Linked DNA regions of Neodiprion lecontei. The protein of the gene in region 1 purifies or fractionates together with the protein of each later gene. This does not show direct contact. Links are inferred from orthologs where the notes say so. Each region holds a gene or a part of one and is shown in the gene's direction. Other genes may lie near its edges. The genes, in order: RCC1-like G exchanging factor-like protein and mitochondrial mRNA pseudouridine synthase Trub2.

What was found.
Region 2: the proteins of RCC1-like G exchanging factor-like protein (region 1) and mitochondrial mRNA pseudouridine synthase Trub2 purify together in Homo sapiens (affinity purification with mass spectrometry; 3 studies listed by BioGRID and IntAct, with this or other methods). This does not show direct contact. The link is inferred for Neodiprion lecontei from reciprocal best matches to the Homo sapiens genes RCC1L and TRUB2.

Annotation. Positions count from the first base shown.
Region 1 is NC_060264.1:18,408,724-18,422,962, forward strand, and holds RCC1-like G exchanging factor-like protein, read left to right. Parts: upstream 1-4,065; 5' UTR 4,066-4,256; coding exon 4,257-4,365; intron 4,366-4,950; coding exon 4,951-5,211; intron 5,212-6,301; coding exon 6,302-6,587; intron 6,588-8,003; coding exon 8,004-8,176; intron 8,177-8,418; coding exon 8,419-8,580; intron 8,581-9,318; coding exon 9,319-9,446; intron 9,447-10,039; coding exon 10,040-10,171; intron 10,172-10,180; exon of another isoform or gene 10,181-10,255; coding exon 10,256-10,333; 3' UTR 10,334-10,788; downstream 10,789-14,239. Other genes in the region: CD2 antigen cytoplasmic tail-binding protein 2 homolog, read right to left, coding at 1,070-1,250, 1,832-1,995, 2,547-2,703; uncharacterized protein LOC107225508, read right to left, coding at 12,581-12,717, 13,582-13,801. UniProt on the Homo sapiens protein: Guanine nucleotide exchange factor (GEF) for mitochondrial dynamin-related GTPase OPA1. Activates OPA1, by exchanging bound GDP for free GTP, and drives OPA1 and MFN1-dependent mitochondrial fusion. Plays an essential role in mitochondrial ribosome biogenesis.
Region 2 is NC_060263.1:8,288,487-8,299,802, reverse strand, and holds mitochondrial mRNA pseudouridine synthase Trub2, read left to right. Parts: upstream 1-6,253; 5' UTR 6,254-6,366; coding exon 6,367-6,490; intron 6,491-6,629; coding exon 6,630-7,038; intron 7,039-7,643; coding exon 7,644-7,780; intron 7,781-7,875; coding exon 7,876-8,135; 3' UTR 8,136-8,590; downstream 8,591-11,316. Other genes in the region: ras-related protein Rab-27A, read right to left, coding at 987-1,170, 1,458-1,570, 3,030-3,144, 3,438-3,508, 3,703-3,846; ribonuclease 3, read right to left, coding at 8,847-9,862, 9,975-10,120, 10,201-10,523, 10,758-10,967, 11,110-11,316. UniProt on the Homo sapiens protein: Minor enzyme contributing to the isomerization of uridine to pseudouridine (pseudouridylation) of specific mitochondrial mRNAs (mt-mRNAs) such as COXI and COXIII mt-mRNAs.

The DNA of each region.
Region 1 (14,239 bases):
GGATGCGACACAATTTGTTTGAATACTTCTCTACTTTTGATTAGAAAACGATGGTGGGCCGTACTTCGAAGAAATCCATAAGCTTTGAATTCTCTACAAATTTTTCTCGAATTTGATACGTGACTTTTCACTTTCAATTCATTATAATTTACTGCTACTTATTTAGACATAATACATTGTGAAGTAATTTACTTGTTTGTTTAAATAATTTTTTTTCATGCGTTTCCTTTTCCTCCTCAATATTGTTCACTACTTCCGACATTTGTCTAGCATGACAATTTGCCACCGTCTTAAAAATGACCAAAAATAATTGATTGTGTATTAAATCGATTGTTGTATCCCGATTATCAAGTATCATCGCAAACTTGATTAGCGACCAACTCAGTTATTTATCCTCACAATCAGTTTTTGTTTTTTACTTCCATGAATGATGCAATATGATATTAATTTATCTGATTAAAGTATGAATTATTATCATTGTCTTACTTAGTAGGTACCTATTTGATATAATAGGTGAAAAATAAATGAATATTTTCACCTTAAATTGAAAAATATTTTTAATGAAACTATAAGTTCTGAAAAAACTTTTCCGCTATTATAGCTATAAGACTATATACTGAAATTTACGGAATTTTGGTTTCACATACACCGTTTCAGCAAACTTCGAGATAATCGATTAATCGATTAATTTTTACCGATTCCATCGAGCCTTATTCAATTATTTTTTTGGACTCGATTAATCGATACATCGATTATATTTAGCTTAGTGGCCATCGCTACACTGTCTTCTCTCTTTAAACATCTAACGAACTAAACTAAGTTGTAGAGGGCTGGAAGTACTATCACCTGGTCATACCTACTGCAAAAAAGCTAAGCTCTTTTGTCCATCGAGTTAGTTTATCATTTTAATTCATTTTATTAGGTGGGTGGAGAGATTTGGGGGGGGGGGGTTTGTTTTATCCCACAATGATTTTACTAGAAACACTAAAAAAAATTTGTCAAAACAATATTCAATAAACCCTTGAATGCAAAAAATTATATTATCAAACGCTGATCAATTAGTTTTTACCTAGTCTGCGAAGTGCTTTTGATACAGTTTCCCCAGGACGCAAATACTCGAGAATTTTTTTGTACAATGGCACGCTGTCAAACATTACTTCTTGTTCATCATCCTCGCTATCGCTGTCCGCCAATCCTTTGATTTTGTCACTTGTTTTATTGCTTGTACCTTCGCGTCCCCCAGATTTAATCTGTAACCCAATTTAGGCATTATTGTTTTTATTTTTATTATTATCAGAGCTTACATTATTAACAAACTAGTTGTTGTTATTATTGCCATGATTATGCGTTTCACACAGAACTATGAAAGTATAATTGAAAGATCCGTTTCATTTTTGGCTTTCTATTTCCCTTATAAAGTTTTTGATTTTGCAGTCACAAATAAAAAGAAGAGTTTCCATGATGCTATAGTTTGTCACTATTTTCGATATCGGTATTTCGCACCATTAACATTGTCTGAAATTTGATGAACCGTAACAAAGCCAAACATAAAACTTAAATTTTGCATAAGATTGAAGTTAATAACATTAAAAAATTTAGAATCATTGCAAAATACGAGTACAACTAGCTTTATTACAGTTCACAGTTTCAAAAGTTCCGTTGTAAGATTACGAATTTTCTAAAAAATTAATGAATTCGAAACTTGTATTAATTTTCCAACTTAAGATATTTTCGTAAAAATCTCATTGTATAATAGTCGAGTAGAATAGAGTATTTTTAACAAAATAAATACATTAGTAGCGGAATTTGATTTTTGAGCAGTGTTAACAACCTGAACCCAGTCAATGTTGTCAAGCCAATTGTCTCTGATCTGCTTTTCCTTGTTCCAGAGGTAATGACCATCCTTATCAAAGTGTCCCTCTTCCAATTCCTCCTTCATATTGAATGCTGTGAAGCCTACATCTGTCTCTGCTGCTACGGGATCGTCTTCCGTTCCTTTATAATAAAAGATTTCAAGTGAACACGAATTTCAAAGATTTAGAAAAGAATCGTATATAATTATTATTACTACTTAATTTGAATGAAATAGACAATATGAGAGAAAAACTGGAAAAGTGGCCCTGCTGAAAGACTTTGATCAGAACATTCATCAAAAGATTCTAAACAAATATTACAAATTTGAAGTTCATCACATTATTGTGACGATGCATTTTGTAAGAAACTTTGTTGAATTACAACATTAGCATTGCTCCAAATTATATAAACCTTAACGACGCCAGTGTGAAGCTCGTGTTTTGTAAACTTGACTCATTCAAAGTTGTTTCAAAGTTGCTATATTTGTTTTTTTTTTCTAACTTTTCATTGCATTAAAGTTACTAACTTTAATCTCGCATATTATAGAGAGGAATTCAGACACAATTTATCATCATTTGTATCATATTTTTGAATCCTATTCTAGGATATTCCTTAACATTAAAGTCTATTGAACTATTAAACTAAATAGAATTATTGGATGCGATTCGTAAACTAATGGCAATGTTGCGCACCTTCAAAGTCATCCTCATTCATGACATTGTAATTATCCTCATTGGCTTCTTCGTCCTCCTCATCAGAGTCTAAAGAATTCTTGACGGTCGGTTCTGTTTTCGCCCTACTATCCTTCCAGTCTTCACTCAGTACATCCTCGAGCTTACGCTTAGACATGTTATTCTTTCAAAGTTTTCCTAACGATTGATGTTATTCAATAAATCATAAGACTTTGCAAAGTTGTCAATTGCTTTGATGCGGTTAGTTTCAACTATGAGATAGTGGTGGATGATATAAGAATAATGTTCAAGCGTGTTATGATGGTGACAATGTTTTCATCCGGACGTTCAGTCACGCAGAAGAACGGATATTGTTGAATTGTTCATCTATACTTATTGTTGACCATCTCTCGCACAATATTACAACTTCTGAATCATGTGAAGTGAGTAAACGAAAAAAATTCCAAACACCCACAACATTCTTTCATTAACTAAGAATCACGTAGTCCGACAACGACTGCCAGATATACGCTGGTTTTTCACGTGCAGCATACAGCTTGGATGCGTTTCGATAATTTACTCCCAGTGCGTCAACAATCTTTTATCTCTTTTGCGCTACCGAGTTTTTAGCGCTGAGAGCTAATTTCGGAACGCACCCTTGAGCGCAAGACCGTCCGAATTGGCTATCTCCTTAGGGTGAATTCACATTTTATGGAGGAAGTCTAGTATACCCTTTCGTGCAAGCGTAAAATGGTATAGAGAGAGAAGTAGTAATGGCGCTGCAAGGGTTCTCTGTGTTGCCAACATAACTGTCAAGTTTAAAAAATTAGCCGTCTACACGGTCTTATTGTCCCCAAATGTACCTGTTACTAAATCAAGCCGTTGAATCGTCGCGTTTCTATCAGACTTCGGCGAAAATGCCCATTCCACATTTATAAATTGTATCGTTGCATTTAAAAATATGCTAAACATTGATATTATTGACTGTTTGTTTCAATAACCTGACCTACCAGGCACCAATGTATAATATGTATTTATATAATCTGGATTATTTCAACGCAATGCTCGAGGCACTCAATTACGATAGGTACGCTCTTGCTGTAGAAAGAGAGCGCATGTAGCATTACGACATCTCTCTCGCTCACTGGCTCGGGGACCTTTCTTTAGCGTCGATGCATCCTCTATGTCTATATGCTCTAAGGTTAGGCACCGCGGCACGGATCATGGTTCAGAGGTAACCAATCAAAATGCCTAAAATATAGGAAAATGTAAAAAGTGAAGGGTGGCGATCGTAACCTGTGAACATCCGTGCTACAAACATACTCCGTAAATTCGTAAAATACGCATTTGAAGTGAATGAAAACTGAGTAATTACTTTTCCAACTGACATTTGAATCTGAAGAAAAGGTGGCAAACGGCGAATTATAAGATACCGGACGGGGCGGGGGGGGGGGGGGAGAGCGCTATACGGGCTTACCCCGCAAGAGGCGCTTCAATCGCAACGTGACTATTCCTCATACAAGTTACGTTGCCGCAAAACTAGTCCAACGTTTGAGCCGAACGGTGCTTCAGTGTCGTCTCCTGCCGACTGCTCCGTGATTAAGTGTTACCGGTGTTACCGCAGATGAAACTCTAACCTCAAACAACAGACAACCGTGCAAAACAGTCGCTTACTCAACTATGCCATAATTAGTACGGCACGTTTCAAATATTGCTACAAAAGTTTAAATAATGTTTAAGCTAGTCAGAAATTATTCAAAATTATCTTCTCCAAAAGTCCGCCAAAAATTGACAGCAACGAATACAAAATCTCCAAACCCACCACCAAACGAATTGCCAGGTAACGATCACTCTAGGGATTTTTTACCGTAAACAAATGTGACATAATGAATAACAACATTGGCGATGTGTATTTGCCTGATACAGTGACTCCACTGGAGTTACTTCGATTTCACGAAAATAACACCGATGACACTTAAAAAGTACCCTGAATTTTACGTTACATGATATCAATCCTCTAAGAGTGATTGGTACTGACTGCGTTATTAACAAGTTGTTTCGTATTGTACTGTGTAAACAGAAATAAGACATGAGAATTCCCGAAAATCTTGCCATTACACAATGCAGGCTAAATTCACTCCAATCTCTTTCACGTCGCTTTAGCATATCTTTATCGCAGTCATTTAATTGTTCTAATAAACTCTGCGTAATGTTAAAATTCGGACCATTTGTAGTACACAAATTGTAGTGGTTTCTTCGAGAGTAAGTTTTTTTTGCCCCTATCTGATACATACAACTTATAATAAATTATTTTCACAAAAGGATGTTTCTAGTTTTTCAGGTGGGAGCAAAAAAAATATTTCTTAGACATCTAATGTCTTAATATAAATAATGCTGAAAATTTTTCTGTAATTTTGCATTGCAGTATTTCAATATCCAGTAAGTCAGAGTAGCGACCGCAGGGTGTACGTTTGGGGCCTTGCTGGTCATGGAGCCTTGGGACTTCAACCGCCGATCGCGAAGCGCAAGAAGTTCTTATTTTATCACAAACCGAACAGACTTCGATTTGCAGAACAGCATCGAGTGATAGATATCGAATCTGGTTATGGGTTTACGGTCTTTGCCGTTGACTCGAAAGATGGAAACATCCTTTGGGGAAATGGAATTAACACAGATTCTCAATTGGGTAAATGAACGTGAAGATGAAAATATAAATTCAATAAATGTTAGATATATCATTTAGTAGATTCCATAAGTTGGTTAAAATTTAATATCGACCAGATAACGTAATATTGTATAATTGGAAGTTGCATCTTTGTACACAACTTCTAACCCAGATGCTGTAAAAGAGGGATATCTGCAACATGGCACGTGCACGCATTTGTGCAATATGAATAAAAATTTGGGACAAAAATATTAAACTGATTGTATACGTGGGTAACTATCAATCTACATTCTGCGTTATATTTTCGATGGCATTTATCATAAACAGTAACTTGATTCTACAAGTAGTAGCCAATGGTTAGGAGTTGAAAATCGGATTTATTTAAACATTCCACACCTCTCTTTTACCTTTCATTTGAAAAAGCTGTAGGACTCAAGTCAAATGGTAAAAACAAATGAATTCCACAATTTCAAATTGAACCTTCGTCTTTGAATTTTCAGCACTGCCTGTTGTCGAGAAAAAATACGACCTACTGTGCTTTTGGCATAAAAAAGTTTGATTCTTATGATTATGTAATCATTTTTGAGATAGGTCTTCTGAAATTGTGACAAAAAAACATAGGTTTTTTCAACTTTTCAGTCGTATATACATGACGGATCAAAAATGGATTTTTATTTATTTTCTTTATTCAAATTCAGACATTTTGGAGTATATCCTCAAGTTTTTAGAATTACATCATAATTAAATCATTAAAAATATTCCAGGGATACAGAATATATTTAGGAAATCCATGATCCCTCGAATATTTATTATGTTTTATAAACGATGCCATTTCCATTCCACTATACAACTCAGAATGTACTCTATAATGTTTACCATTTCACATTAAAAAAATGCAGAAAATTTATTCTTAGGAGTTCGCAAACATGGACTGAAAGTGTAAAGAACAGTTCCCGACAACAGCCTTAAAATGGATTTCATTTTCGGAAAGATCAGACTAAATTTTAGTCAAATATTGCTAGGATTGACAGATTTTAAAGGTGCCTTCAGTGCAGTCTTCATTCGATTTGATTCACACTTTTGATTAAATTTGATCCAATTCTTTCCTCAGGATATGATGCAGCAGCAAAGGATCCTCAAAATGTTGTTCCACTCCCAAAGCCGATACATCTGCCATTAAAAAATCCGTCCAGTCAAGTAACTGGACTTGCTGCTGGTCGTGCACATTTGTTAGTTCTAACAACCGAAGGCCTGTTTACACTTGGAAATAATGGTTATGGTCAATGTGGACGACCAATAATTGTCGATGAAGATTACACAAACAATACAATAGTTCATCATATACCAGACATCAAAGGGGAGCGCATAAAATCTGTAACAGCAGGCCAAGATCACAGGTACGTGATAGCATTTACCAATCAGCACTGTCATAAGTTATTTTGATCATTTGTTTTAACAGAATGATCTCAGATAACCGTTGAACAAAAAGATATTGCGCTGCCGTCAAAAAAATATTTTTTGCAATTAACAATTCTTTTTTCTCAACACACTAAGAATTTTCCGTTTTTATTATTGTCTACTCAATTAACCACATTAAAATGACGATAATCTTACTTGTAGAGACAATTACGAGAGAAATTATTTCTCATCTCATCAAATGAATTTGTACATGAATAATCTTATTTTCATTTAAATAATACTCGTTACCTTAGACAACAGTGAAGATAAGATAAGATAAATAAGATTGAAGTTAGTAACGTTAATGTAACGAAACATTGAGAAACAAAAATCACTATTTTTCAATTAAAAGTGACTGAAGGTGTTATTAAGTTTCCAAAGTATGAGAGTATTTTTATATTCATTGTATGACTTAACGAAATTTAAAGAATCCTAAACTTGCAAATTAACGATTTTTCCTAAAAATACATGGCTATATTAACATTATGAACTTGAACCTGATATTTACTCATTGTTGGCAATCACTACATTTTTTTGGATCTGCACACGGCAATGGGCATTCCATAAATTTTTTGACTTGCAATAAGCATTTTCTATAAAATTTCGGTTTGTCTTGTATCTCCAAGAAAGATGAGGCTAAAGTTCACAGAATTATTCTAACAATGCATTTCTAAACGAAAATGTTCATTTTGCAACTTTACGTTAAATTCAATTCGGTAAAAGATAATAAACCAAAGTTGACCACTATCTTTTATAACATTTTCAATGTAAATAGTACAAAACGACATGTTGTATCATTCTAGTTCATATATTTTGCATGAAATAACCAATTATTACTTTACAATATGTTTTTTTTTTTTTTTCAAATTTAAATCATTCATTCGACGTTTAAAGTTCGTAAAGCAAAACATTTCTTGAATGAAAAAAGGTGGTTCATTTGATTATGGTATATTTTGCACTAACGGTGAGAAGTGGAAGTTTTTTTAGCCATGTGTGGAGTTTGCAGTACGAGCTTTATAAAACTGGTAAATCTTTAGAAAAAAAACAAAAAAAAAAAAAACGAATCCTGCTCCATTTTTAGGACATAAAGAAATGTTAACATAAATATCGAACGAGATTGAAGTTCATGATGATGATGCAGTGAGAGTGTTTTTATAAATCATTTCACAAACTTGAAAATGTCAGAAATTCGGTAAACTGTAATGAAGCAAAATATACTCGAAATTTTAAGAACTGAACATCTTCAAAGTCATTGCAAAATAGGGGCACCTTTTCCAAATCTTTCATTGTGTTAGCGTTAAAAACTTGATAATCTATAAATCAATGAATTACAAGCTACTCTTTGTTTTCTGCAGTATTCTTTTAAGCGAGTCAGGCCAAGTTTATACATTTGGATGGGGTGCAGATGGCCAAACTGGTCTTGCACATTACAGAAATGAGTACAAACCGAGCTTAGTGAAAGGAGACTTGGCTGGTGAAAATATTGTCAAAGTTGCCTGTATGGCAGACTGTGTCTTGGCGCTTAGCGGTATGCTATAAAAAAAAAACTACTTGTTATTATCATTGCTTAACCAATTAAACAAATCGCAGACGTCATATATTGATGTGATATTCTACATAAATTTGTTTGAAGAGACTTCCCATACTAAAAGAATACTGGGGAAAATCTTGAAAGACCTGGACGTCTAATCTGCTTGCGAAATTCTGTATATAATTCAGTTAACTTTCCCCTACTTCAGCAGCTTTAACATTCTAATATAATTTTGGTAGATAAAGGCACAGTATTCGGATGGGGTAATTCGGAATATGGACAGTTGCCATCTTTGGTTGATAATCACCAAATAAACATTGCAACAGAAATCCAAGAGTGTCGCTCCCTGGGACATGTTGTAGACATTGCTGCAGGCGGAAGCTTTTGCATGGTTTTAAACAGTAAGAATATATAATCAATCGATCAAATACCTTCGGTTAAAAATCAATGCTTTTTTTACTAATTTTACTACGAGATCAGCTCACGTACAGTTTTTATCAAATTATCACGTTCGGATGCTACGGTGATGCTTCCAAAATTGCTGAAAAAGTGTGACTAAAATTATGAACAGCAGTTTAAGTATCAATTTCTCACTGGAAACAGCTTTAAAATGGTGGAAAAATTTACTAGGCTCGTTCAATTTCACTCCATGAAGTCATGGTGGCTTGGTTTGTTTGGAAAACTGTTTCTTGCCAGTTCTGTGAAACAAATTTTGTCTTATTCTCAATTATTGATTAAGTATTGCTATTTCCTGATCAAAATCGATACCACTGGAATCTTGGAAAATTGTATATTCAACAATATCAACTTGATAAGTAAAACAAAAATTGTTGGACTTTACTTGAAAAATTACCTTCTACATAAAATGACTCGTTCGCAAAATGATGTGGCATTTATATATCAGATTTTTCAGCATCTTAATGCGATTAGAGATGAAAAATGGTTATCCTAGTTTTTTATTTTGCATTCCTAGAAAAATCATCATAGCTTACGAACGTGTTGACCATATGAACCTTCGAAGCAAAGGCTTGATTTTTAAGTGACAAATCTCTTTGAGTAAACAATTTACTGTAATAAGTAGCGGATTATGTTTCCTTACTCTTTTGTCATAAATTTTTCTTGTTGATCTGAATTCCTAGGTGATGGCAACGTTTTTGTATGGGGATATGGAATTCTTGGAGTTGGTCCTGCTGTACAAAGAGCAAAAGAACCTACAATGATTCCGGCTACTCTGTTTGGTTTTAACGCGTATAGCCGTAATAATCGGGTCAGTAGAAATTTGCCTAAAATTCCCCCAGTTCACAAAATTCATTCATGAAATTCTATTCTTAAGCAATGATAGTTTGCTATTATGTTTTTAATACACTTTTGGATTGACCACAATTGAAATTCAGTGTCATCTAGACTTCATCGAAATCAATGGATTATAGATGAGTAGACGGCTAAAGAAATGGGTGAATTTTGGGAATTGATATCTTGAAAACCAACCACTCATTTCGATCGGAGTTTGTTTTATCGAAACGTGTGTAGATCGAACTTCAGCTACATATTTTTTTTTTTTACTATAGACATAATTGGAAGCATTGTTAGTGACAATAACGTCAACCATTTAGCTAAGTGACATGTTTTGCGGGGCCCACGATATTTCAAAACCGGTCCGACCGATTTACTTCAAGTTTGAAGACAGTGTTTTTGGATAGTTTAGCTTCTTTACCAAAATCTGAAATTATTTTTTTCAACCAGTGATGACTGTGCGAAATTGAAATTCGATGTTTCATACAAAATTTACTACTGAATTATTCGATTAAAGAAATATAATAGTCAGCAATGATAGAAAAAAAATTTTCTACCTTGTCACAGGTTTCTCAAATATACTGCGGTATAAGTCAACTGGCGGCAGTGACTGATAATGGAGACCTTTATATGTGGGGATGCAACAAATTTGGATCTTTAGGACTTGGGAATATCGAGGATCAGTTCTTTCCATTGAAAGTAAGTATATGTCAAACAGTGTCATACATTTCATGACATTCTTTATTATTTGCTGTCACATGAATTATATATATTATATTCTAGGTAGCAGTAGGTGCTCAAGTAAAAAAAGTTTCTTGCGGCGTCGATCATACAGTCACATTATGTAAACCTTATATATAAAGCAGTGTTTTCCTAACGAACAAAATATATTTTTACGTATTGTCACAAGGTGTGTATGAATATTAAGAGTTGAACCTCGATAATGATACCGGTATTTGCCAATTGTAGGATTGTAAAAAGTAATGTCTATTTAAAAGAAGGAAATAATTCATTATTTCCGGAGAGCTAATACAGACTTAACTCGTACTAGAGCTTCGCGATTAATCGATTAACCGCAGATTTGAACTCATTTTTTATCTAATTCGTCGATTAATCCAAAAAAAGAAAAGATCAATTTCAATAAACAAATGGCCGATTAATCGAAAATCGATTAATTGAAAGGGTTGATTACTTGATTAATCGGGAAAACTCTAAATGATGTTTCTAATGAATCCATTAATAGGGAAAATGATTAATTGAGAATGCCAAACAATCGATTATTCAGAAAAACAATCAATGAAAAGAGTCAATCAATCGACTAATTTCAAAAAAATGTATGATTAATTGTTTTATTGTGCAGCCCTGATTCGTAAATAAGGATACTTCATTAGCCCATTAAACTGAACTTTTTCTAGTCAGTATTTTGTTACAGAAATAAATAAAAGACAAAATAAGGGCAAAGAAACTGTTCCTTTTTTAATCTTCTTCCTGTTTTTATTAACTAATTTGTACGTTAACACTCTCATTTCACTAAGTACATCTCATTAAGTACTATGCAATGGAAAAAAAAAATAAAAATTGGGTGCAATCTGAAATGTATTATTAGTACGAATACTACGCGATTATTTGCTTTTTTTTTATCAAGAATCTACTTTCTTAGTGAAATATAGGTAAAATGAAAAAAAAATAAAAATTTCAAGTTCAAATAAATTGATCAAACTTTCCTTCAGCAAACCAATGCAAATGTCAAAGTTTACATACTGATATTATTATTTCATTTTCTTCGAAAACTCAAATTTCATCAAATAACTGGGTTTGAAAACTATAAAACCGGGACGACACAGATCAATAATTGTGAATTGAAAATGTGATGCAGTTTGGAAATGTTAGTTTCTAAACTTAAATTCAGTAAAATTGATGATGATGTAATATTTGTAATTGATTCCTATGACGCGCCATTTTCAATATCAAAAAAAAATCTTTCACCTGGTTTCACAAATACTGACTCCTTTGCGTAATCAGATTAGATTGCAAGCAATTGAGGGAGAATTCACGGATCTGTAATTCATGTTTGCTCTCATTTTTCAGAACCAAAGTGTTGATCGCATTTCTGCAAGATACCATAATTATAATATTTTGAGGACTTTGAATTCGTTTTGAACAGTTGAACTTGAATGTGACATTAATTCAACTTCAAATCAATTGATCGACCATACACAAGTTACAGACGTTTACTTTGATGATTCTATTTTTAAATGAATAATTCTTGGAGAAATGATCACATGGTTTTATACAAGGCTCTGAAAATGTGCCATGTCGCTGCTCACCGGGGAATACGATTACTTTTGTAAGAATATTTACAATATTTATGAATTTATTCCAACTTTTTGTTCAAAGGAACTTCTTTGCTCAAATTCCCACTAGGCTATATTAGTTGTGTAATGGATTTGCTAGATTCTCAAAATCCGAATTTAGTTTTCCACTTGAGAAATGATCAGAATCCGGCAGCCCAAGTATAGTTTCAAGTTTTATGTATCCTATCTCATCATGAGATTAATTATCTTACGAAAATCTAAAATTTAATGTTTATCGCTGTAGTAGCCATTTAATTATTATGTCAAGTATTAAAGAGTAAGTAAGTTTTTGATATTGGAAAGCTGATTGCACTGAAATGCAAAATATTTGTCCTCCTATTCTGTTCAGAGAATGTAGCCAAATCGTTACAGCTTGGAGATAGAAAAATAAATATTACCCTGAAATTTATCTTCATCCAACAATATCGCGTTTACAACTGAATGACGACGATTTTTTTTTTTTTTTTAATTTAACTTCAGTACTGTAATGAAATTCTTAGCTAAAAGTTATCGTATGAACCGAAAAAAGCCATGCTTATGCACTGAGAAAAGGTTCCCTCGTGATTAAAACTTGCGATAACTCTGTAAATACAACAAATGTTTGAAAACTCTGGCGCAAATGTTTCTCCATCAAATACTCGATACAATGTTATCTTCGAATAGCGTAAAAATTCCGTAGTATGTATTAACAAAAAGCGTGACCGTTTTAACACGGAATCACTTCGGTAACTGCGTTTAACTCTATACACTTATATTACATGAAGTTGATAATGAAAGATACTACCAGAACCAATGGAGCAAAGAAGAAAGTGCTGGCACTGCTTCGGCATACAAGATTGTCGTACGATATTGTGAACTTGCGCATGTCCGGATAACGGCAAACGTTGGCATCTGAAAGATTTTTATGTAGATATACGCTCGTGTGTTAAATTGTAGAATACAGAAAATACCAGCGTTTTGAATGGCACTGGATAACGAGCATTTTGTTGGTCAAAATAAAAAGAGAAAAGACTGTTTGAAAAAACTCCAGCAGTGTTATTTGCGCTAATAATGTTGAACACTAATCAAACAACATTTTTATTATGTTATAGAAATGATGATGAGCAAATTCAAATAACACCAGCTAAGATATCACCAATTTGCGAAAAAGTTCTTCAACTGGAAGATACGAAATGCTTAAACTCGAATGTATTCGATCCGATTCTAATGTTTTTGAGTTCATTTTACTCACCGAACAGATTCTCCGAAATTCTCGAAAAATATTCTAGAAATCTTACTTTATATTATAGTTATAAAGCAAATGTAATCTTTGACGAAGATTTATTGTACCATGCTTTCAAAAATTTCTCTTTATCCACTTCGAAGCTAACTATTTGTGAAACTTTTTCAAGCGATATCTGGATATATTTATGGTAAATGAATTAGGCCTGAAATATTTATAATTCCATCAAAAGCACCAGAGTTTGATCATTTTCAACGTTTTGATTATTAAAAAACTCATCTCTGAAATTGTTGATACCGTAAAACTTCTGTTATTCGAATTTACTCTGAATTATTTCTGTTACATACTAAGGATTTTATTGCATCTCTGTTCACCATTATCGGCAAAAATTAGATTTCTGGAAATTTTTAAACGCTTTTTTCTCCTACTCAGACCAATTCTTTCGTACTTTAAACGCGTCTGATTTTCGTGGTATACTCGATGGAAAAATATTCATCATGGCTTTGGATTTTCTAGAGGTACTGTAAATATACCTGTGCATTGGTATGATACTGAATCCGAAGCATTAGCTGCCACAGATAAGTAGAGAGGCTGACATCTGTGTATGAGATCCACGCCACTGCAGGATATGCTGATGCTGTGCGTATTTGTTGTCACTGATGTGCAGCTTACGTCGTTCGGAGAAGTTGAATTTGGCTGAACCACCGAACGCGATGTACAAACATTCAGGTATCCCCATCCTGCACCTTGAACCTATGCATCAATCAAATATTATGTGGTAACTGTTGAGGTTATTGTTGCATGATGCGAGGTTTAACCCATTCGCTTTTTTGTACACTAATTTTCGTTTTCTACGAATTTCTGTAAATAACTCTCAAGTATATCAAATCGGGGTAAAATGTTTTTACAAATTCGTTGCCACTGTTTATTTTGTAGAATTATTCTGACATTGCGGAAAAACGCAAATTTTGAAAAAAAATTCATTTTCTGAAACATGTCCAAAACATCTCAAACTTGTTCAAGAAGTGTTCCTTTACCGAAATAAAGGCATTTTGAGTCAATATTTTCATATTAAAGCGAATGAGTTAAACTATCTAAATTAAGCATTGGGAGAAAATTATTGTTTTACGTATGTGTAAAGTAACGTTAAAATCTCATTTACACGATTTTCAAGGAGTATGACAATTGTGA
Region 2 (11,316 bases), on another chromosome or scaffold:
GTAAAGTAACAAAAGTTAGTCAAGTATTAAGAAATGTTGTATATGGTGAAGCGATTGGAAGCACACCGTGTAACTGATAAATATTGGAAAAGGATCCATTACAGCATGTTTCAGTAATTGAATTTGGGTACATTGACTAGTTAGGTTCAACACGATATCACCTATATGTATATGCATATGAAAGTTGTTTTTTAATAAAGTCGCTATAATATAACGAACATCTGGAATCAATACGATCTGATACAATATTATGGTATCGATAATATTGTGTGAGTTCGTATTATCTTTGAAAGTCTAGTGCAATAAATTACAAGTAAAATTGTTTGCTTTCGTCAGAATTTTAGTTTTTGGTATATTTTCTGCTATCAGAAGACTAGAAACGTTAAAAGATCAGCCGTTAGCTTAGTGATATTCTAATTGACTACATATTAAATTCGGCGATCAGATGTAAGACATTGGTACGAAATTTTCAATTTTTTGTCACAGTAATACTGTGACGTAATTATTCACAGTACAATAGTCTGTTATCCATGACATGTTTAGACCCTGCATCATTGTTTTTTAAATTGTAAATATTCTTAAAAATTCTTACACGTATGTTGGACGTATAGTATAAGATCAGAAAATTTTATAAACTGACGATAATCAATCGGCGTTCAAAATTACTTCAGCATTGTATGGGTACATTAAAATTTTTTCAATACCAACATACATTTTTTACTATAATATTTGGCCCATATATGTAAAGTGAAACGACTCATTTTTTATGAGATTCTAGACCCTCTTGGTTCGAAGTATGTTTTCTTACAAGCAATATCTTGAAATTGAAAAAAACCTGAAAAACGGTGACAAGAATAAACGAGATTCCTCCTAATGCTAGTAAATAATATTGATGTATAATTCGTGAAATACATAAAAATATGGCTGAAACACGCGGATGAATACTGGAAGAAAAATACTCTTGCGAGAATCACAAGCAGCCGTTATCAACAGTAACAAGACGAAGTTGATGGTGGAATATCTGTGTCGTGACAGCGAAGACCTCGTTGATGCGGCAACACAGACTTGTCCACCGTAGCTTCCATTCTTCGCATAACACGGTCAAGCAGCACTTCTATTGCTCTAGCAACATTCTGTCCTGTAGCTGCACTGGTCTCTAAGTAGCCTAGGCTACGGATCATTATTACAGACTGTTACTAAATAAATCTGTGCATACCTCCGAGATGACGATAAAATTTTATTCATATATCGCAAATAGACAATATTTTTTTGTTCTTGAACGGAAAGACTTTTGATATTGACAACATAGCATAAGACATGGATTGAGAAATCGGCTTTTCAGAATATCAAATGTAAATATAATTGATAAAAGGAACTGTGAATTTTATGCTGGCAGATTAGCTGGTCTTTATTTTGTCTCTTCTTGAACGAATATAATGAAGTTTCTAAAAACTTACCCATACTTCTCTGCAAGTTCCCGCGCTTTGTATTCACTGATTACACGACGGTCTTCAAGGTCAGACTTGTTTCCACAAAGAATTATGTCAGGGTCTTCGCAGTACGCATGCGTCTGTGAAATAAATAAACAAATCAAGGCACAACCGAATAAAAGGTTTTTTGATATGAAAACAAAAACGTGATAGGTACTGAACACAAATTATAAATGTAAGTACTATCATAGATTACTTACAATTGTATTTATAATTCATCAACCACCTTCCATAAAATTTGTATTGTGCTGACAATGTGTAACTGTATGAATTACGTGCACCCTCAACTATCAGAAAATTCATACTTCGAATTGCAGGGAATTTTTTCAGCAATTGTAGAAAAAAGTGTAAATTTTAAAGTATGAAAATTTTCAATAGCAATATATGTAGGTACTGAGGTCGCTGTTATTGATGAAAATAGATATAAAAACCGCTAAGCAAGTAATAAAAATAGCAAAGGAAACTTGCATTAGATTGATAATAAAGTTGATAATTGATAATCAGTCTTTGAATAATGAATGTCTAAAATAAAATTTAAAATAGCAGTGTTTCCTCATCGTTCGCGGAAAATTGCGAGGCTGAATTTAGCAGCCAGAATTAGCAGCCCAACGTTCTAATGTTCCTTTGAATAAAGTAGTGAAGTCCGAAAGTCAATATTTTTTGAAATACCTCGAACCCCCAATACTTTTATAGAATTGTGAGGATAAAACTGAACTGCATTTTTCTATTTCCAAAAAGTTCAACAAGTTTCGCTGCTAACCCTGGCTGCCAACTTCAGCTATATCATAAAATTGTGGATAAATATCCTACTACCGGTATAAGTATTATCAATTATAGTTCATGTGTGTAAGCAATATGTGTTAGATGTAAACACACGAGTATTTCAAAAGATATCTGCTTCTAACTTCCTGCGTAGCTGAGCATATCAGGCCAAGTAATTAAGATTGTTTAACAAGGTAGCGAATTGAAAGTAGGTCACGAATAAAACTGAATAAATTTTCAGTTTAAAGATAAATTTTAACTCTGCCAACAATTTTTGTGTAAAAATCTTTACCAATTGTCTATTTATGAAAATTCTATAGAGAATTTTGCAGAGAATTTTGCGAATTCTTTAGAGAAATATTAAATTATGTGACTAGATTTTATTGATTTTTATCAGAAACGTTGTTTCGTGGAAGTCTCTCGTTTCTTAGGAATGATGCAAACAATATTTCATGTATTATTACTAGGTTTTAGGAGATAAAATCTGCCATGACAAAAGGTCAAGGTTGAAGTTAGTGTAGTTAATTTGTAGAAAAAATTGTCGCTTCCAAAATTTAGGGTTGTCCAAAACTCAGTGAGCCCCAGTAAAGCAAAACATAATAATATTTTGCAAATTCAATTTCTTCCGAGTCACTCTCTGAAGCTTCAGAATAGTGATTTATTTTTCATGTTTCACTATGTTAATATTTTTAGACTTCAAGTTGTGAGATATGGACTGAATTAGAATGATTTCAAGTAAATACACCCTTATTAAAATGATATATTTATTTAATATACCCTCAGCTGATCCAGCCAGTTTCTGACCTCCAGAAAGGACTGTTCGTTTGTCAAGTCAAACAACAACAAGAATCCCATTGAATCTCGGTAGAAAGCTGTAGTCAGACTTCTAAACCTGGGAAAGTAATTTGAAAAAAGCAGCATAATTAATGAGTGAGTAAAAGTACAGAATTAAATGCACTGACTAACGACGCAAGTAACTTAAATATTGCTATGAACAAGCAACTATTTCAACAAAGTTACAACTTTTGGATGATACGATATAGAGAAACAAATTCTTTGTTTCTTTTTAAAATAAAGACAATAATGTTGTTACTACGATATTGGATTCGGATCAGTACTTAGATTACTAATGAATGTTCATCATTATGTTTGCAAGCTTGCAAATAACACGAAGGCTATAATTACCTTTCTTGCCCAGCTGTGTCCCAGAGTTGTAAATGTATTCTCTGGCTTCTGCCGTTCATTGTTTGATACACCTGCAATAACAATTTCAAGGAATAAATTAATGGCAATCTTTTTGCTGCTGATTAAGATACCAGCTCTCAAGATTAGTATATTCATCGATAACGCGTCATCGAAATGTCAGACGGTTGAAACATCATGGAAAATATGAAATCCACTTCTGATGAATAGATTAATTCGGTAAGAACAATTATAATTAAATTCTTACCAGTTTTTTTTCTCTAAAATCAATCCCAACGGTCGATATAAATCTTGAATTAAATACACCGTCTGTGTACTGATAAAGGAAGCTTGTTTTTCCAACACCAGAATCACCAAGGGCCAAGAATTTAATCAAATAATCATAATCCATCTTTTGGACAGATGGATCAAGTAAGCCAATTGCCGACTTGGATTAGAAAATAATGAGTGAAGATTTAAAAATTAAAATGTATTCAAAAGGCAAGGAAGTACAGCGGACACATGATTAGTGGACTCAGCTGACAATTTTTGTCGGTAAACAGTCTTATTATTTGTACGCGCGAAACTACTCGGAGCTTTTTGATTTAGACACCTGTTGCCGACGCTAAAAACCGATTACGTTCGCTAAAAACAGCGAAATATCATGCGAATGCGGAGCAGAGAAATAAAGAAATTTGGTAGACTGTTCACTGACAGACCGGATTATAATTGGAAGAACTATAAACTACACTACGGTAAAAATACAAATAAAACCGTGTCACCAACTCATCGCACCTCACAGTTGATTGTCAACTGTCAACCAGCTGCTACTTAACTATTAGCAACGAAGATCGACTTCCATAGAAGCGTACGGCTTATCGGCCGTTTGAAGCGAAGCTTTCCGCGACTCGTAAATCCGTATGATGGCTCTACCGTCGGCCGATACACACCGGCACTGTACACATTAGGGTGCTATTTCATGAGCAGTAAATAGCAGCAGCAGCAGCAATTTTCCCCTATCACTTCCGGCGCAAGTTTCTGCTGCTCGCAGTTCAGTTTTTCGAGCGACAAGCCACAAGATCACAAAAAGCCACGACCTATTTCTTGAGCAGCGCTGCTGCTGCGTAAAATTACCAGACTGATGCTAGTGAAAACTAGTAAGTTACTAAACCACTGCTGCTTTTTACTGCTCATGAAATAGCACCCTTAGTGTAGAGTACTGTACGTGAGCCACACGCATGGTACGCAATAGTAAAAACATAGTGGCAACTAGATCTTATGCGTTTTGATTAGTTGCCGCTAATTGCGCTGCACACCGCCGCGCACATGTAAACCCACCCTAAAGGTGGATTTTCATGGTCGTCAAATTGTCGCCACACTTATGCCTGGTCTACTCATACGCTTTAAGTGAGGGTCTTCAAGTGCGCCTCCATTAAAGCTGATGTGTAGCTGAGTTTATATGAACTTTAAGCGCCTCCCACTTAAAGATTTTCTGAATCCCACTTTAAGCTTAATTTTCAGCGAGAAGTAGTGCCAACCGTACCGACATGATGGATATATCGAAATCTCGTGTGATTTGAACTCGTTCTTTGTTCTTTGTGCTTCGTTCTTTTTTTCGGTCGGCATTTTGCCGTAACCAAGTTTGGTACATATTTATTACTCAAACAATTATTGATATGAAAATATAATCCATGTTGAAGTATCACCAGGGTTTGCAACAAACAAAATGCGGTTTGAATTACAGATGAGAGATTTGTTGATTATAAGCTATTCAAAAAACGGAAAATAAAAGATAGATAGGTTATTATTAATTAATGAATAAAATTACGGAGAACATTGCATTACATTGCTTCATATATTGTATCACTGAGGTTATAAACACTAACTGACAGTTCTTAATTAAGTTCTTCTCGTTACTCCGTTTGATGGCTACAAGGCTTTTTAACCTTCAAGTGCCACACAGTTCTCATTTTAAACCCAACACCGTTGCAGGCTACCCAACTCAAAATAATTTTTGTCATTAAAGTACTGTGTGTAGCTGAGTACTAAGTCCATGCTGAGTACACACTTTATCCCAAACAGACTTGAACGTACTGACTTTAAAACCCCCACTCAAAGTGCATGTGTAGACCAAGCATTTTAGATCATATACCAAATTAACGCGGCAGCGCTACATCGTCGGCGGCAAAAAAATACTGATGATAATAGGTATCGACGCAACGGCGAAATGCCGCAAGTCTAACAACCATACGTGAGCTACGTGGTTAAGGCAGTAATTCTCAGTTGCATTAACGTTTTTTGAATCATGAGGATGAATGAGATTATATTTTCTTACATATCGAACAACTACTTATAAAGCTTATAGACCAGTTTTACGAAATACACTGCAAGCAACGTATTAAGAGATCCAGCCGAAAAATGAAAGATTTCGTTTGCAATTCCGCTGCTGTTGGTCCTACGATCTTTTTAATGTCCTTTTCGCATTTCTGAGAGTTCGATCAGTGCCAATAAGGTCCTGAAAAACGGTTCTAAGACCAGAATTTCTGAGCTCTAAAAATCAAAAAAATACCAGTCCGACACTGCCAATCAGCAATCCTAAATTTTTACATTCTTCGATTAAGAATGTAATTGATATCCATTGGCTTAACCACGTGAGTTTTGACGCGCGGCATTTTGCCGTTGCGTCGGCACCCACTTCCATGAATGACATTTCCCGATGACGTCTTTGCGCTGTCGCGTCAATTTGACGCTCGTGAAAATTCAGCTTAAAACTATTCATCAGTGTTGCCAATATAAATACAAATCCTGTTTCGAAACGAACGACATAACCTAAAATCTAATTTGTTTGAACCTACATCGTGGTTTGAACTTTAAAGTTCGAAATGAGCTTCCTTACTAGAAGCAAATAGTGACAACTGATTCTAATGCAAAAATGGGAGTCACGTCTGACGCCAGGGTGGTTTGGCAGTTTTTAAATGGCATAGCTGCAATTTATAAACCCGCTGGTTACAGTTTGCACAGAACCAGAAACACGATACTGACGCACTTGTGCAGAGGTTAGAATTGCAAAAAATTTTCCAGCACTAGTATTAAGTCGAACAACTTAATCGCTGATGCAATCAACTCACTTCGTAATCCCTGTCGAGCGTATGTTCTTTTAATATCAGTGCTAATGTACCGTGTATTTCCAATTAGATTTGAACGCGTTAGAAGGCCGACCACAGCGGGAGTATGTCAGGATCGAAGGAGAAACTGATAAACCAATGACTGTTCAGGTCGTTCCAAATTTGGCTGATCATTTATTGTTAACCGGTCCTCATTATCAGCAAAAAGATTTTAAGCTATCGTGGGTCAATTACCTTGGTTACGATACATCTGGTGTTGTGATTATTGGAATCAATGAAGGTGCTAGAACAGTTATGCGCATGAGGGAATCAAACCCAACAAGGTTCTACAAAGTTAAAGGGGTATTCGGACAAGCAACTGACAATTATTTCACATCGGGAAAAATTGTGGAGAAGGCTACCTATAAGTCTATCAAACGAGCCACTGTGGACGCAATCTGTGCGTCGATGCAGGCATCACATCAACGGAAGATGTTTGAGTAATTGTCATTTTGAAAATTTAATAATTTGCATTTTTTCTTGTTTTATGAAATTCGCTTATTTCATGTTTTTGATAAAAGTATTGATTCTTTCATACTGCACTTTATTTATATGTATATCTTAAATGAAAAACTAGTTTTACAATTATGAATCCAGCAGACAAGAGATCAGCGGACACAAAATGTTTCAAAACCTATGATTTTGACTATGAAGTCGAGGCTAGGTACCCATGTTACAGAAATGGTCTCAAGAACTCGCAATTATTAGAATCTAGCTTCATGTTTGATAAGATTTTGAAAAAGTTCTGTGAATTTGGAGCTGTTAATTGAACTTACGCAATATAAGGAACTTTGCAGTATTAATATTGTAAAACAGAGTTCAATCCTTCTTTTCCAGGTATTGAATTCGAGTTTCATGTACTATTTATTGCAAACGTCTATTATGTAGTGTCTGTTTCTCTGTCTATGCTAGATGTATTATTTCTTCACTTCTTGTTCAACTTTTTAAGTCCACTTGTTAGCTTATCAACCTTTAAACTCAAATGGAGTTTACTCGAATTTACCAACTAGCCGGAACGTCAACATAATCTTAAATTTTTTTACAGACTATGTGGCGTAGATATGCAGTCTCAGGCTGCTTATGAGTTGGCAATTCAAGGCCCGATCAGACCAGCAAATAACAAAATTCCTATGATTTATGCCATAAAATGTGTTGCCTTTAACATGCCAGAATTTACTCTAGGTACGATTACTGGTAACGATAATGAAACATGTATGTATTATACCGAACTCAGTTTTCTCTGTCATAAACTTATATTTGGTGTATTACTTTTTCAGAAATAGCATGCATCAACGAGTACGAGATGTATCTTAAGACTTTGGTTCACCAACTAGGAATTCAACTACACAGTGTCGCTACTTGTACACAAATACAATGTTTCAGGTACGGTTTGTTTACAACTGAACTTGCACTCCTCAAAAAACATTGGGATGTTCAAAGTATACTTGATAATATGGAACAGACTCAGGCTATTCTTGATAACAACAAATATTTAGTGGAACAAGATAGTCCTACATTGATAGAACAACAGATATAGATTGCTGTACAAAGGCTGAATTATTCTCGGGTCAGAATATATTCGTCACTATTTTCCTGAATCATTTCACTTTGGGGGATAATTCATTTTACTAAAGTGCATTGATATGATTTCAATAAATACCCACTTATTAAATCCTCTGGAGCAAATGATCTGTCTATGTAATTATGTGTAAATATTTTAATCCATTAAACCAATAGTTCATATACCCTCGAATTATAGGTTTTCTATTTATTCCATATTTCATCATCTATTCATAATAACGAGACTTATGGTAAGTATTAAAATTAAGAAATAATTCAATTGCCAAATATGTAGTAGCCCAATGTAAAATTTATTTTCAGGTAACTCAACTATAAGCACTAAAATTATATATTTCAGATAACAATAAGATGGATTTTAGTTTGCACCATTCTTTACATGAAATATTCGGGAATTATATAAATATGCTTAAATTAGCGTCTCAAAAAAACATCACATTCTACATGTCTCCTGAAATTTACATATATACACAATAATAATGTAACACGTGAGTAAAACATAATCCAGTTATCACTTACAACCATCCAATATAGTTTACTCGACAATGTAAAACAACTCTTCATCTGTTACTTTAGTTGAAAGATTTTCCAATCACAGAGCCTCTTTTATCACATTGAAAATTATATTTATCAGCTTTTTCTCCTACTCACTACTTCAGGATCATCCACGTTACATGGACTTCTTTTCAATCTGAGGCGAGAAATTACTACTTCTGTACTGTTCCGGTACACTTCCTTCTTCGCTGCTGCTTCTGCAATCGTCGAAAGATCGTTTTCTCTTTCTACCGTTTTCGTAAAAACGCTGACTATGTCTAGAATCGTAATCTCGGATTTTCCTGTTTGTTTTATTTTCATAATTACTCTCTGCGTTTATTTTTTTCCTCTCACGCTCAAAGTTACTTTGCCTTTGAACATTTATATCTTCGTAAACGCAACTTTTCGCGCAGGTATTCCGCTTTTTCTCTGTATCATCCTGCCTTTCGTACCTTCCTCTATTTCGATTATCGCCTTTCATAGCTTGCGCTTCGGTTCTTCGCTCTGTTTCATCGTGCTCGTACATTCCATCATTCGTACATACCGATTGATTGTTCTGCTTATAGCTGCTCTGTCCATCGTCGTCTTTTCCACGACGTAACAGGGTTGAACTTTTATCACGGCTTTCGATTCTGTCCTCAACATTGGTAACTGTAAAATCATCCCTGACTCTATATCCAGATCCTGATCCACTTGCTTGACAATTCCCTCGACTATCTACGCTTGAACACCTGTCATATTCCTTATATCTGTGGTTCGAGTCAGTTGGAAGACTATGAATCTTCTCCTTATTTGTAGCATCATTATTTTTTTCGTATTCAGTATTTCTTCTGTAATCGTTACTCTTACTAATAGATCTTTCCTTGGTACGACGATCTTGATCATTATTATAGACATCAGATTTATCAACATTTTTCAGTGACTCCTTATGCCTTCGATCTGAACTATCATATCGATCTCTTGATCGTCTGTCTGAATTTTCACGCTCCCTACTTCGACTTCGTCTCTTTTGTTTGAAACTTGAATCTGAATCGTCTGATCTGTCGTTACATCGAATGGTCTTTGCCCGAAGCATCTGTCGATTGGGCCACTGCTGTTTTTTCATACTCTTTGCAATAACCCGTTTTTGATGATCCAATTGAGGGAATAGATCTACGGAAACAATTGAAACAATACATTAATATGATACATACCCATATCAAAATAACATAACTATTGGTCACTGGAACAGTTTTTGAAATTTCCATGTTCAAATCAAATTTACCTTGAGATTTTTCAAGCGCTTCTTTAGCGGAGTTCATCTCTGCTTCTTGAATGCTGTGGCCAGAAGCTTTGGCCAAACGTTTACCTTGAAAATACACAGCGACTGTGTAAATTCGCGTGTTAGTCGGACCTTTGCATTCGATTACTCTGAAAGTAAGAATAAATGATGAAATTAGTACGATTTCTTCCCCTGATTCGATGAGAAAGATTTGATTTGCGATGCCTACTTGTAAACAGGTATATCTGGCTCTCCACCATCCATAGTCCTCAGAGTTAAGCAACATTGCTGCAGTTTACTTTTTGGATCGTTCCAATCCTGATTCATGATGAAATCTTGAAGACGAGGGAAGAAGCACACGTCGCAAAAGACGTGGCAAAACTCCAAACCTTTGTCAACGTACAAAGCGCCCAAAAAAGCCTCTAGCAAATCAGCTCTATCTTTCGTCTTTAGCTCCGCTTTAGGGTTTCCATAAAGGGCGTATTGAGTCATACCCAAATCATCGCAAACTACTGCTTGGGTTTTGTTGTTGACCAAAGAACTTCGTAGAAGCTGTAATTGTAAATTATTAGCATATACTTGCATTAAACTTACAATTAGTTTGTCTTCGCTCAAAACCGAGCTTCTTTCGTTAACTTAATAAAGAATAAAAACGCTAAGTAATCAATATTTCATGCTTCATTAAAACACAAAAACTGTATGATAACGTACAACCTACAGAACAATCACACTGATTTATAACACATTATTTGAAATTGAAGTAACTCTTTTTAGGAAATTACTTACCGAAAGATGTCCTTCGTGATGTTCAGGGAAAAATTTGTACAAATATTCAGAAACTATGAGCTGCAGAACAGTGTCACCTAGGAATTCCAAACGTTGATTAGATCCTAGCGTCAAATTAGTATACCCAATGCTTCGATCTGTGAATGCTCGTGCGAGTAATCGAATATGTTGAAAATCAATGCCAATTGATTCTTCAAACTTGGTTAACTTCTAAAGAAACAAGACAAACAATAACGTTGATTAATTTTTTGTCGATGAGCAGTAATAAATTGATAATAAACCACCGTTTACACCTTGCATTAATAAAATTGAAAATGTACCCCTACAGAAAATATTTTAGCAATTCACATACTTGCAGTAATTCAAAGCTGGGTATCCATTGTCTATCGCCGGTGGGTTCCTGCTCTTGCAGAGGATGGCGGGGATAATTGATCCAGACTTTAGAGAGATCACATTCTCCCATGAACATTGTCTCAGCAAATACTTTGTCAGCAACTTCTATTCCTCCGTCAAGGAACAGAGACCCCATCAGAGCTTCAAAGCAATTGGCCATAGCATG